Linked DNA regions of Drosophila melanogaster. The protein of the gene in region 3 interacts with the protein of the main gene of each other region in a pairwise test. Each region holds a gene or a part of one and is shown on either strand. Other genes may lie near its edges.

What was found.
Region 1: the proteins of Adi1 (region 3) and alc interact in a two-hybrid assay, tested with the Drosophila melanogaster proteins (one large-scale study listed by BioGRID).
Region 2: the proteins of Adi1 (region 3) and TwdlD interact in a two-hybrid assay, tested with the Drosophila melanogaster proteins (one large-scale study listed by BioGRID).

Annotation. Positions count from the first base shown.
Region 1 is NT_033778.4:9,134,788-9,139,768, reverse strand, and holds alc (alicorn), read left to right. Parts: upstream 1-1,835; 5' UTR 1,836-2,169; coding exon 2,170-2,817; intron 2,818-3,773; coding exon 3,774-4,004; intron 4,005-4,063; coding exon 4,064-4,210; 3' UTR 4,211-4,394; downstream 4,395-4,981. Other genes in the region: Hydr1 (alpha/beta hydrolase 1), read right to left, coding at 4,716-4,981.
Region 2 is NT_033777.3:26,638,148-26,641,570, reverse strand, and holds TwdlD (TweedleD), read right to left. Parts: upstream 1,547-3,423; 5' UTR 1,497-1,546; coding exon 1,482-1,496; intron 1,417-1,481; coding exon 661-1,416; 3' UTR 517-660; downstream 1-516.
Region 3 is NT_037436.4:10,661,721-10,665,024, reverse strand, and holds Adi1 (acireductone dioxygenase 1), read right to left. Parts: upstream 1,650-3,304; 5' UTR 1,580-1,649; coding exon 1,457-1,579; intron 1,376-1,456; coding exon 1,298-1,375; intron 1,236-1,297; coding exon 1,108-1,235; intron 951-1,107; coding exon 857-950; intron 798-856; coding exon 660-797; 3' UTR 590-659; downstream 1-589. Other genes in the region: CG8003 (uncharacterized protein), read right to left, coding at 2,099-2,341, 2,402-3,175, 3,244-3,304. UniProt on the Drosophila melanogaster protein: Catalyzes 2 different reactions between oxygen and the acireductone 1,2-dihydroxy-3-keto-5-methylthiopentene (DHK-MTPene) depending upon the metal bound in the active site.

The DNA.
Region 1 (4,981 bases), on a different chromosome or scaffold from region 3:
TGCTCCAGGTGGAGTGGCCATCTTGGAGCTTCATACTTGTTTTTTTTTTTCACCGATGGAGGCTCTTTGTGCTTCATCCGGAGGGGAGTATGTGTGAAGAGTAGGCTGATCAAACAGGCTTTGGGAAAACGGCAACTAAGTGGCAAATGCGACGCAGTTTCAACTCGAATCTAAATATGTAAGTATACACATACGTATGTACATATGTAGGTGTTGCCGCATACATATTATCAATTAGCAGTTCAGAACAGTTCACTGGCTAAGCAGATCGCTGATAACGTGGTCGAGAATCGGCGCAAACACGCGCCGCCCTCGGGAGCCATGGGAAATAGTTAAGTTGTTTGGGACTCCGCCGGGCCTTCTGGGCTCCGATCAATGGGTTAGTCGGACGTGGCCAGATAAGCGGGCTGCGGACCTTGAAGAGCACCAAATGCAAAGTGAACCGAGACTAATAACCGGGCGAGGTCAACCCATTGTAGCCAACCATCCAACTGACCTACCTTAAATGCTTAGTTCACTCGACTTCGAAAGGGACGTGACTCCTGGGGCTTCACTCCAACTCCAGTTGCTGCGCTTGCTCTGTTTTTTTTTAGTGCACTCAAACGAAAAAAACTCGATCACCTGCAGTCGCGAGGAGAGAACTGTGAACCGTTTTGCACAATGTCTGCGATCGCACTGAAAACGAAACAAGGCACGGCGTCGGCATCGAGTGTTTTTAGTTTTAATCAATTTTAAATGCGAAGGCGTCGTGTTTTGCCGCTGTGTGAGTGGCTACCACGCAGCACACACACATGGGAAAGCCGCTCGTGCACTGGAAGAAATGGCACGGATCTGAAATGGATTTAGGTACAAGTTTCCTATTCATTCAGTTAATATATCCAGAAAACATAAATACTAAATGCTACTGCTTAACTTTGGGTACATTAAATTCAATTCCTTGTAATGAAATAACTAGGTACATACGCATTGTTTGGAATGTGCTTGTTTCTCCAAGTGTACGTCATATGTGCGGTGTAGCAATGAGTAGTATTTCCAAGAGTTTCTTGGGGTGCTGCCATAGTCTGGAAAGCGTCTGGTTTCTACATCTGTGGTACACTGGTACCAAACATTTGTTTGTTTTGATCGCCGTTTCTTTTAGTTGCTTTCATACATATGTTTTGGACTGTTTTGGCTAAATCTGTGCGGTGGATACACTTACCTTCTACCTGGTGTTCATCGCAGATCAGCCTTGTCCTCGCCGCACTTCCGCCCTCGCTCTTTGTCACTCTTCTCGGTCTTGCCTAGTCTTCCTTTCCACTTTTGCCTTTTTATTGTGCTCCGATGCATGTTGATTGTCGTGGACTTTGCACCCTCAGTTTTCCGCTGTTGTAATGCTCGTTTTACGCATTTACAGGAATATAGTCGACTAGGAAAGCACTCTTTACCCGTTTAATCTGGATTTGTCAGCCGATAATTCAGTGGAATTAATTCTGTTGAATTCATAAATAAATAGATAAATTGTATGATTCATTAACCTATTTATTAATTGGTTGATAGCTTTGGGATAGTGATTAAACTCAAGCAATTCACCGATGCAATCTATTGTCTTGAAATGATAAGAATTGAAAGAATGTTGCTATGAATTTAAAAATCTTTAATGAGTGGCTGCCACTTTAATCTAATTCCACGTAATCTTAACTTTCTGAAGGTGCTGGAAACCCATGACACTTTAATTTTCAGAACATTCAACCTAACTATAAATTCAAATCGAGTGGCAGCTCCGATAACGGTCACAGCTGCTAAGACCAGGGCGGCACACTGTGTGCTGTCGCCCGATAACTTCTTTGTTTTGAACTCACGGGAAAGCAACCCTGCGTGTGCTCTCGCCAATTGGAACTGCGAATATACTGCCTGTGTATATATGTAAATGTTTATAATTAGCAATTTTTCTACGAAACAAACGATTAAATAATGCAGTTTTCTGCCTACTAAATGCCAAATACAACACACAGACTTCGAGCCACGAACGGTGATGTGATCAGAGTACTAGAGTAATCCAACGAAAAACGCGAGTCCATTTTAAAGCGAAGTATAAAGTGCCAAACAAAGGGAGCAGTCGAACCCAGTCCAAATCCAATCATTATACTCGGTCCGTGACCTGCCGACGAGCCAGCGAGTACGGCAATAAGCATGGGCAACGCCAGCTCCTCCGTGCACATGCAACGCGAGCGCCACAAGTCGACCGACTTGTCCACGCCGAGCTCTCCCGCACATTTCCGCGATTCGATTGGTGGAGGAGGAGCGGGACAGGGCGGGAGTGCTGGCGCAGCAGCTCTGGGCGCTGCAGCGGGGGCGGTGGGAGCTGCGGGGGGTGGAGGAGGAGGCGGCGGAGGCCAAGCTTTCTCGTTCGACAAAAAACATACGGCAGTCTTGAACGAGGGCTCGTCGCAAGAAGACGACGACCCGTACTACACGGGAACTGGAACTGGATCCACTAGACGAGGCACCGCACACGACGACGCGACATCAGCTGTTACCCGAGACCACTCCAGCATGGACAACAACGAGGAGGAGGAGGAGGCAGCGGTAGGAGCGGAGCCAGCGACTGGATCTCAGTTAACCGGCGATGAGGACGACATCCGGAAGACGGCACTGCCCACAGTTCTGCGGTGGGACGGCGGCGGCAAGAACGTCACCATCTCGGGCACATTCTCCGATTGGAAGCCCATGGCCATGGTGCGCAGCCATCAGAACTTCGTGACCATCATAGATCTGCCGGAGGGCGACCATCAGTACAAGTTCTGCGTGGACGGCGAGTGGAAGCACGATCCCAAGCTGGTCAGTTGGGCGGAAAATCAATATATGCAGCAGGCTATTCAGTGTTTTTGATTCGGGCGCCCGAATGACGCAGTTACCGATTTTCGCCCCGGGTTGTGTAATCGCCGTAAACAAAACGAAGTCTCCCAGTAATCGTAGTGGATTTCAATTGGGTTCAGAGATGCTCATCCGGCTTTAGCTTTTTTTTTGTTTTTTTTTTGAGGAACCCCGTTCAAATGCTTCGCAAATAACAAATGCAATTAAAGTTACAAGTTTAAGGGAGCAAACTGCGATAAAACCCATTTGTAGATTACTACTAAATCCGGTTGGATGTCGCTAGTTTTGTGGACACAGTTTATCTAAGTGACCATTGAACATTGCTATCAGGCGAACAATTTGAACTATAGAAAAGATTTAAGGGAATAGTAACGTTTTCTTAGATAAAATATTTTTCTGGATAACAAAGTTCAGGACTGTGATAGAATATATGACCTACTTCGCAATGTTAAAATAGTTGCAGAATTGCATGAAGACGAAAAGCAATCAGAAATGAATTACTAAATGCACAGACTTTAAATCTTTATTAAGAATAGTTCACGAAGCTCACGTATTTAAACCATAATGGTTTTAATGACTAATAAATAATGTAGTTTATCTGACATTTAAATTAGTAAGCAAAACGAAAGCAAACCATTGAACAAATTTTTGTATTATATATATATGTAGCAAGCCAAATTGTTGTATATAATTCAAAATTGCTCGAAACAAGTAGCAACAGTACGTTATTAATTATAGAAAGCAGTCATTGCCCAGCCACATTTTCATGAAGTATTGCCCAATTTTTGTTTTATCGCAAACTCAGCTATCAAGTTTCATGAGTTTTATTGAACTCAACCCGAGGCCTGCAGATATTGTCCCAATTGCCCAAACTATTGTTACAGACAATTTGATTATAGCTTATCGGTTTGCTATTTTAGAAAAGCGTGGAGAACGCCGAGGGACAGAGAAATAACTTAGTGTCCGTGCGAGAATCCGATTTCGAGGTGTTCCAGGCCCTAGCCAAAGACAGCGAGAACGTGACCAACTATGCGGAGAAGGAGTACTCGCAGGAGGTGCCGCAGGTGAAGCCCTGGGAGAAGGTATCTGGCCCGCCCGTTCTGCCGCCCCATCTGCTCCAGGTCATCCTCAACAAGGATACACCGCTATCGGTGGGTATTGTCGCTGTCTCGAGAGCTACCGACCGTAACCTTACCCTATTCTGTTTCAGTGTGAACCCACTCTGCTGCCGGAACCCAACCACGTGATGCTTAACCACTTGTACGCCCTGTCTATCAAGGATGGCGTCATGGTCCTGAGTGCCACGCACAGGTATCGCAAGAAGTACGTCACCACGCTGCTGTACAAGCCCATTTAGGCAACTCGCAATTGGTATTTTAGCTGTAGGAACATGGTTTTTATGAGGGATACCACGTCCCGCTTGTCAAATTTACCTTATTATGAGTAAAAGTGTTTTAGTTTTCTCTCTATTAAGCGTTGTATTTTTATTAGTTATAAATATACGGAACTTGTAAAAATATAAGATTATTGCATTGTGTCATAATTTGTAATTTGTATTTGAATTTACTACGAATCGTACAGCTTATTTGCAATTTCAACCTGATATGTCACTAAAGTCACGATCTAAGAGTAATTTAAGCAACTATGCATATTGACTGACTGATAATTTGGTTCCCTGTTCGCTGTATATAAGTATAACAACACTTTGGATTTTGATCAACGTTTCATATCACATGTGTACAAGAGTCTTCGCCGACGGCAATCTATCGGAATACAAACATTCTCGTATATCTACGTGTTCAACTGGACAAAAACTGAACTAGACTAGCGGACCGACCGACCGACCGACCGACCGACCAGCTTCACATCAGCTTGACCTTGTGGTCCAACTGATCGGCGTCGATCTTCTTGGCGAACAGCACCGGTGACGAGGAGGCCAGCGCCACCGTCTGCTTGGCCAAGAATCGCTCGTGCATCTTGTTGGCCGTGTGCTGGAACTCGCCATCCTCGTCGAACAGCGCCTTGGTGAAGTACTCCGTGAAGAGGCGGCCCATGTACTGGTCTTTGGTGGACGGCCACCAGCCCTCGAGGAAGCCGATGTGCCCGCCACGAGCCGTAATCACGATGG
Region 2 (3,423 bases), on a different chromosome or scaffold from region 3:
TGCTTTTCATATAGCATATACCCATAATAGTTTGGAAAGTTTCCTTGTACCTAGCACTCACCTAGTTTTCCCATCACTGAGAGACACCGATTACGAGCAGGCTTACAAAGAGTGGACGGATACTGTAACCGGGTCTAGACCGGGCCATTTTGCAACCACTTCATTTCGAATCTAATAACTCCAATTACAAATGGCGGATGGGATAAAACCATTGTGCATATGCCGGAGAATCCATGACTGTGCGGGTGCGGTTTCGTTTCAGTTCCCGGGAGGCAATATGAGTGGGTGTCATGTGGGTGGCTCAACTTGTTGCTGGACTTTATGACATGCCAGCCGCTTTATCCAGGCTATTATTTCTGGGATTTTATGTGAAAGGACAACGCACGAATGCGCAGACAGGATTTGCCCGGCAAAAAGAGAAACTCGCACAACGGAAAGGTTCGGTTCCGCAGCATGGAAATGGCCGAATCCTGCAATTAGGCTGCAAATGAGTTTTTCAGTTCACATCGGGAATTTGTCAGCAAAACAAATTTTATTCCTCTACATGGATACTTAAAAGCTAGTTAACTTGCACGTGATGGGAGTAGCTAGGTGTTTTCTTTTTTCGATGCGATATTCTGGGATAGGAAGCGTTACCGTTGAAATTTCACTTGAGACCATTTACTTGACGCGGAAACGACGCAGATTGGGTGGCAGGTAATCCTGGCCAGCCACCACATTGGCGGGCAGGTACTCCGAGCTGGGAGCAGCTGCAGCAACGGCTGGGATGGCAGCAGCCTGGGCTGGAGACGAGGCAAAGTTCAGGACAGGAGCACGACCCTCGTTGGAGATGCGAGACACGCCGGGCAATTGGTTGTACTGGTTCTGGATGGCCAGTTGGGCATTAGCCGCATCCTCTGGAGTGCGGTACTTGACGAAGTGCACCTCTGGTTTGTTGGTGGAGCTCGTCTTCAGGGCATTCAGTTGCTTAGCCAGGTTGGACACATCGGACTGTTTGGTGAGAACATAGATGGCGGTCTCCTGCTGAGCAGACTGCTTGGCCAACTGGAGGGCAGCGCGCTCGAAGCCCTGATTTTCGGGAGTGCGAATGAAGACGACGCGGAGGTTCTTTTTCAGGGAGTTGGCGATCTGCTGGTTGCTGGCACCCTCATCGTACTGTTCCTCGGGGGCGGCGTAGCTGTAGAACTCCTTCTGGAACTCCTCTACCAAAGGTGCAATCTGGGGAGCAACAGGTGCTTCAATGGGCTGGGAGAGGACTGCTTCGCCACTCTGCACGGGCAGCACCTGCGACGGAAGTTCTCCAATCACCTGACCACTTCCGGGCAGGAAGGACAGACCCTCATCGGCATGTGCCACGGGTTGGTAGTTGTAGCCCAGTTTATCGGCACTGCAGCTCACGGCCAACAGACAGAGGACCTGCATGATGTTAAATATTAGTTTTATACTGTATTATTCGATTCCCTTATTTTCTAGACACTTACGATAAAAGCACGCATGGTGACTGGAAGCTGTGTACAAATGGAGCTGACAGGAGGAACTAATGCTGGGAGTTCAGCACAATCTGGCTTTTATAGTTGAAGACGCGGCACTGCATTTACCCCTCCCACGAAATAGACCCAGTTTTTGGCCAAGGTAGATAGAGAAATCCCCTGTTAACGAACGACCTTGCTGTCGCAGCGCTGTTGATTTGATTTCGATGCTATTCGACAGTCATTAAAATGCCCCACCGTTTAAATATGCAAGCGTATTCCCCGACCTAGGCCTATCGCCAGCCCGCGATCGTTTGTCTTGGCTTTGATTTTAATGCACTCTGCGACGGTTATAAATATGCATGGGATATCAGGGACTGTGATTGCAAATGCGGCGGACGCCAACGACACTGCTACATTATCTAATTGATTTGTGTTGGCTACGACAGGCCATAAAAAACACAATCTGGATGCTGCAGAGACGGACCAAACGGCAGCCACTGTGTTGAAATGCTCGGAAAATAAACAGCTACTGGCTTTGGCGATAATATCTGGTGGCTGGCGGTCACTGCTCACTGGATGGGATGCCAGTTGCCAGTTGCCAGTTACCAGTCGGCAGTTGGTGCTCCGGGTTGGCCAGCTTAAGCTGGTAATTATAATTTTCATAATTTTCCACGAGCTCGCGTTATCCACTGCGCAGCACGAGTCGAAAACGTCAATCTTTTTCGACGGTTCAGTTAATGAAGTTCTTTAACTAATTTAAACTTTTTCGGCATCGTTTGATGGCCACGGCGAAATAAGAATTTAAATTGTGGAATAGCATCTGTGTGGGTCGACGGGTCACCAAAGATACAAGAAAGAAATTAATAATTACAATCTTCGTTTGACAGTTCAGCTGGTATAAGGATAATAATCTTACTATAAGGGGATGACTTTTATCTGTATCTGCTTAATAGTATTAAGAATTTAAGCTGTGATATACCATATAGTTGTTGTGATTTCAGTTCCCAATGGATGCTTAAATTATGGGACTACCATTGATCGCACTACCATGATGACTCCACCCAGCGTTTGGCTGGCTATTAGCCGGGCCCGCTGCACAGCAAAACTCATACCAAAGTTGGTAGGCAAAAACAAAAAAAGAAAAAACAGCGCCAAAAATGCGCCTAATTTGGAGATGGCAAGCCAAACAAGCCAAGAGCCCCAAAAACGATGAAAAGATTGGAAAACACGCAAACTTGGCAGCTGCTGCTGCTGCTGTTGCTGGATGGAATCCGAGACTTGGACCTTGGACACACCTGTCCCAAAATTGCAGCAAGTCATGAGCTGCCTCCGGCCAGGATTCAGGATTAAAGCGCTTGGCTTCGTGTTCCCCAGTGTTTGGAGATACCGCGAAATAAAAAAAGCCACCTGAAGGGCAGTGCTTGTGGGTTGGCGGAGGATTGGGGAGCATTGTTGGAGAGGCAGCTTTGACGTGACTGGCAAAGTTTTTGGCAGGCGCCGCTAACGAGCGAAGCTCGTCCTCCGCCGCCCAGGATCTCATGTTGCTCAAAAATGCTTAAACTAAAACTTGCTCAACAGATTTGCGCTGGAAACTAGGAAAGAGAACAGCGGAGGGATCCTTTTTACGGCTGCACTTCGCCGTGTCATATGGCGCTGGCACTCGGGTGTAAGTGTGTGTTTGACCTTTGACACTAAAACAATTTGCAAAGCGAAATGATGTCAGCCCCAGTGTCCTGTCATCTCCGACCCCTTCTCCACATCACTGTTGTTTGCCGACTAGTGGCGTAATTTAGTTGAAACATTCTTAAAGTACCGCCTGTCGTAGAATCCTGCGTCCTGGTGGGGCAATGCAGGAACAGCGATTCCGAGTGGGTGGAGCGGTGGGAAAACTCCGCGCGCAGCTCATTAAAAAGTTTGCGAGTGACAACGGCGTCGGCGACATTTGCTTAAG
Region 3 (3,304 bases):
TCAAAGAGAGAGTGAAACACACAAAGACATAGACACACACGTACACACACACAGATAGGCCGCTTTAAGCATTCGTGTGCGGCATTTTATTAATCCACGTCGATTTGTTTGTAAATAGATAACGATACGATATTGTATTGTATCCGCCGAATCCACAGATAACGACTCGATTTAATTTCAATTGTGCTTTTTCGCCGCTCCGCTCACGCACACTACCTCACACACACAGACGAGACCGCGTAGCACGTCCGAACGATCCGAGAGATGAAAAAGTAAAAAAGTGTTTGTTTTGTTTTCCTTCCTAGCGATGGCACGCGCATCGATGTTGGCTCGATACTTTCGCTGGCGCTTGGGATTATATACTTGCGCTGTTTTTTCTCTTCGGCGCTGGTACGGTCATACCGCGAATTGTACTCTCTGAGATTCGAGTTCGAAAGTACGTTTAGCATATGCAGCAACCAACTAAGAGATAAAATTCGAAATCAAGTTTTTGGCGGGGTTTATTGATATAGAAAATAGACTTCGAATTCTATATCAAAACTACGTTAATCAGCGAAAATTGTAAGTTAAACAAAAAACTATTGAAACTATTGATTATACACAGCGATTTTATATTTCAAAATATCAAACTTGATGGTAAAAGATAAGATTTAAGGTTTTTAAACCTTATTGAATTGCACAAAGTTTTCCGACTGATGCTTGATGTACGATTTGCGACAGTCCATTTCATCAGCAGGACGATTGTGTGGAGCCCAGACAGGTTCGCCCACAAAATAGCGACGAGTTCTGATAAAGTTCTAAGAAAAAACAATACAAATAGTTTAAGTTTGTATATAAGATTGTCAAAATAACTTACATTGGTATCCAAAGTAAAGCGGTGATATATGCCAGCTGGTATAATGATCAGATCTCCCTTGACAACCTTAATGCGCAACCAGTTGTCCTCATTGCTATAAAGAATAAATAGTTTTCCGTTTTAAAACAATTCCAAAAATGTTATTAGTGTGAGCAAAAACAATATCAGTAAGAATATGAATGCTTGAACTATTTAATTGGGAAAATGTGGCTGGGATACTATAAAATGCGGTGTAAATAAACAAAACTTACTCGCGAACATCAAAGTAACCGGATCCCTCCAATATCAGGCGAATTTCCTCATCCGTGTGCAGGTGTTCGGTGAAAAAGGCTTTCAACTTGTTGGCATAGTCTGGAAGGCACTTTTCCGAGCATGTGATCTGTAATAATTCGAAGTTTACCAAAGTTCGGTAGATGTTTTTCAAGAAAACATCGATCTTGCCTCATCATCGTAGGTGTAGCCACGTTTTGCCCTCAGTTCCGTGAGGGTATTATCGCTCTGGTACTCGTCCGCATTGATCTGCAAATGTGAATGATCAAGATAAGCTCGCCCCCAAGGTCACTTAAGGTTTTTAAAGTCGCAATTTCGCTTTTCACTTGCCTTAAAGTATTCCACGCCGGTCTTCTGGTACAGATCATCCAGTTCCAAGTAGGCAGGCGGATTGCGGTGGTGCTCCAGGCGCTGATCGGTTTCCTCCGTATCCATATACCAAACCTGCACCATTTTGGACTGTTTTAAACGGGTTTTCACGAGCAACGAGCAACAAATAGATTAAACAAGAAAAATTCAACTGGCATCAGCTGTTCGTTTTCGAATTTTCGAAATCGATAACAGACACTCAGGCGAATGCCGCTAGTGCTGTTAACTTAACATTCGAAAATGAATGCTGTTAGTTTTGTGTTCGAAATACTGCTATTTTAAAAACTTCATTTTTGAAATGTTCGATTTAAAACGTAAAATAACCATAATTTTAATAACCTTCAAAAGGAGTTATTTTTCTATTTTTTTTTTGTTCCATTATTACTCTTTATTATTTTACGATAGATATACGATTTTTGGGCAGTTTGTTGTATGTTTTGACTTTAATTGAATTTGTAGCGTGCAATTTTGCCTTTCGTTACTATTATCTAGTTTAATTTGTGTAGACATCTGACAGTTTGGTACTAACAATCTTTTAGTACGCGAAAATGCTAGGTTTCTGGTTTTATGTTACATTTATTGGCGTTACAAAGGAGCACAGGATTACGCAGTCAGTTTGGACAGTTCCTCGCGCAGCTCGGCCGTGTCAATGGCTCCCTTCGCTTGCGATTGCGGCTGGGCTTGGGCTTGGGCTTGGGATTGGGCCAGGAGGCGGGCACAGTTCTTCTTGTGCATGAACCAATGCAGCCGCTGGCATTCGCGATCGCAATACTGCACCGCCTTGCACTTGGAGCACTTCTTGTCCGGTTTCTCGGCGCCGCAGGTGCTGCAGTAGTTGCCCTCGTCCTGAAAATTAGTTTTCCAGATTAGAAAAGAATCATTTGATTATGAGATCATGATACCCACCGTAATCCACCTCATCCCATTGATGGCATTTCGCAGGACAGTCAGTGCTGGTGGGGCATCCTTGGCGCCAAATTGCGTTGCGATTTGCCGGAAGATGGTGCACTCTCTCACGGGAAACTCCCTGGCACATTCGCGCAACGTGTATTCCACATAGTCCAGCTGGCCCAGCTTGTTCTCCTTGAGCACCCGCTTCACAAACATCTCGATGAAATCGTTCTTGTTCGCATCGCCCGCCTCCTCGCCACTTTTCTCCTTGTGCTGCGCCTTGAATTGCTCCTCGCAGCGTATTAGTTCGGCCAAAATCCAGCCCTGATAATGGAACTTGAAGGCCAGCAGCTCGTTGAGGTCATGCGACTTCTGCATCTCCTTTTCGCACATCAAAGCCAGCGTCTTGCGCAGACTGGACAGGATCCTAAGCAATCCCAAGGACTGCACATTCAGGGCAATCCTCACGGGATGCAGGTTGATTTCGGTGACAAAGGCGTGGAACGATTTGAGTAAGCTGGGTGGTATATGCGGCTCCGTCTGCTGGCCATGCACTTGGGTGTAGTACTCCAAACTCGACTGGGTCACATAGTTGTTGATGGTCTCCACGCAGGCGTGGTTGCCCACAAAGGCGGCCATTTGGGCGGCGGTCCTGTTGACACTATTGATGCTACCCGGCTTGATGCCAGCATCCAAAAGAAGCCGGCACACATGTGTATTGCCCGATAGAGCGGCGAAATGCAGTGGCGTATAATCAGCTCCATGCTGATTGAGGTTTATGTCGGCACCCTGTGGAAGAAAAGGCGGTTATTTCATGTTTAGAGCCCAAGCGGTGGTTGCCTGGCAGATGTACCCACCATGTCCAGGAGCAGCTGCACCGCCTCGCGGTTTCCCTTGAAGCTGGCGTGGGCCAAACAC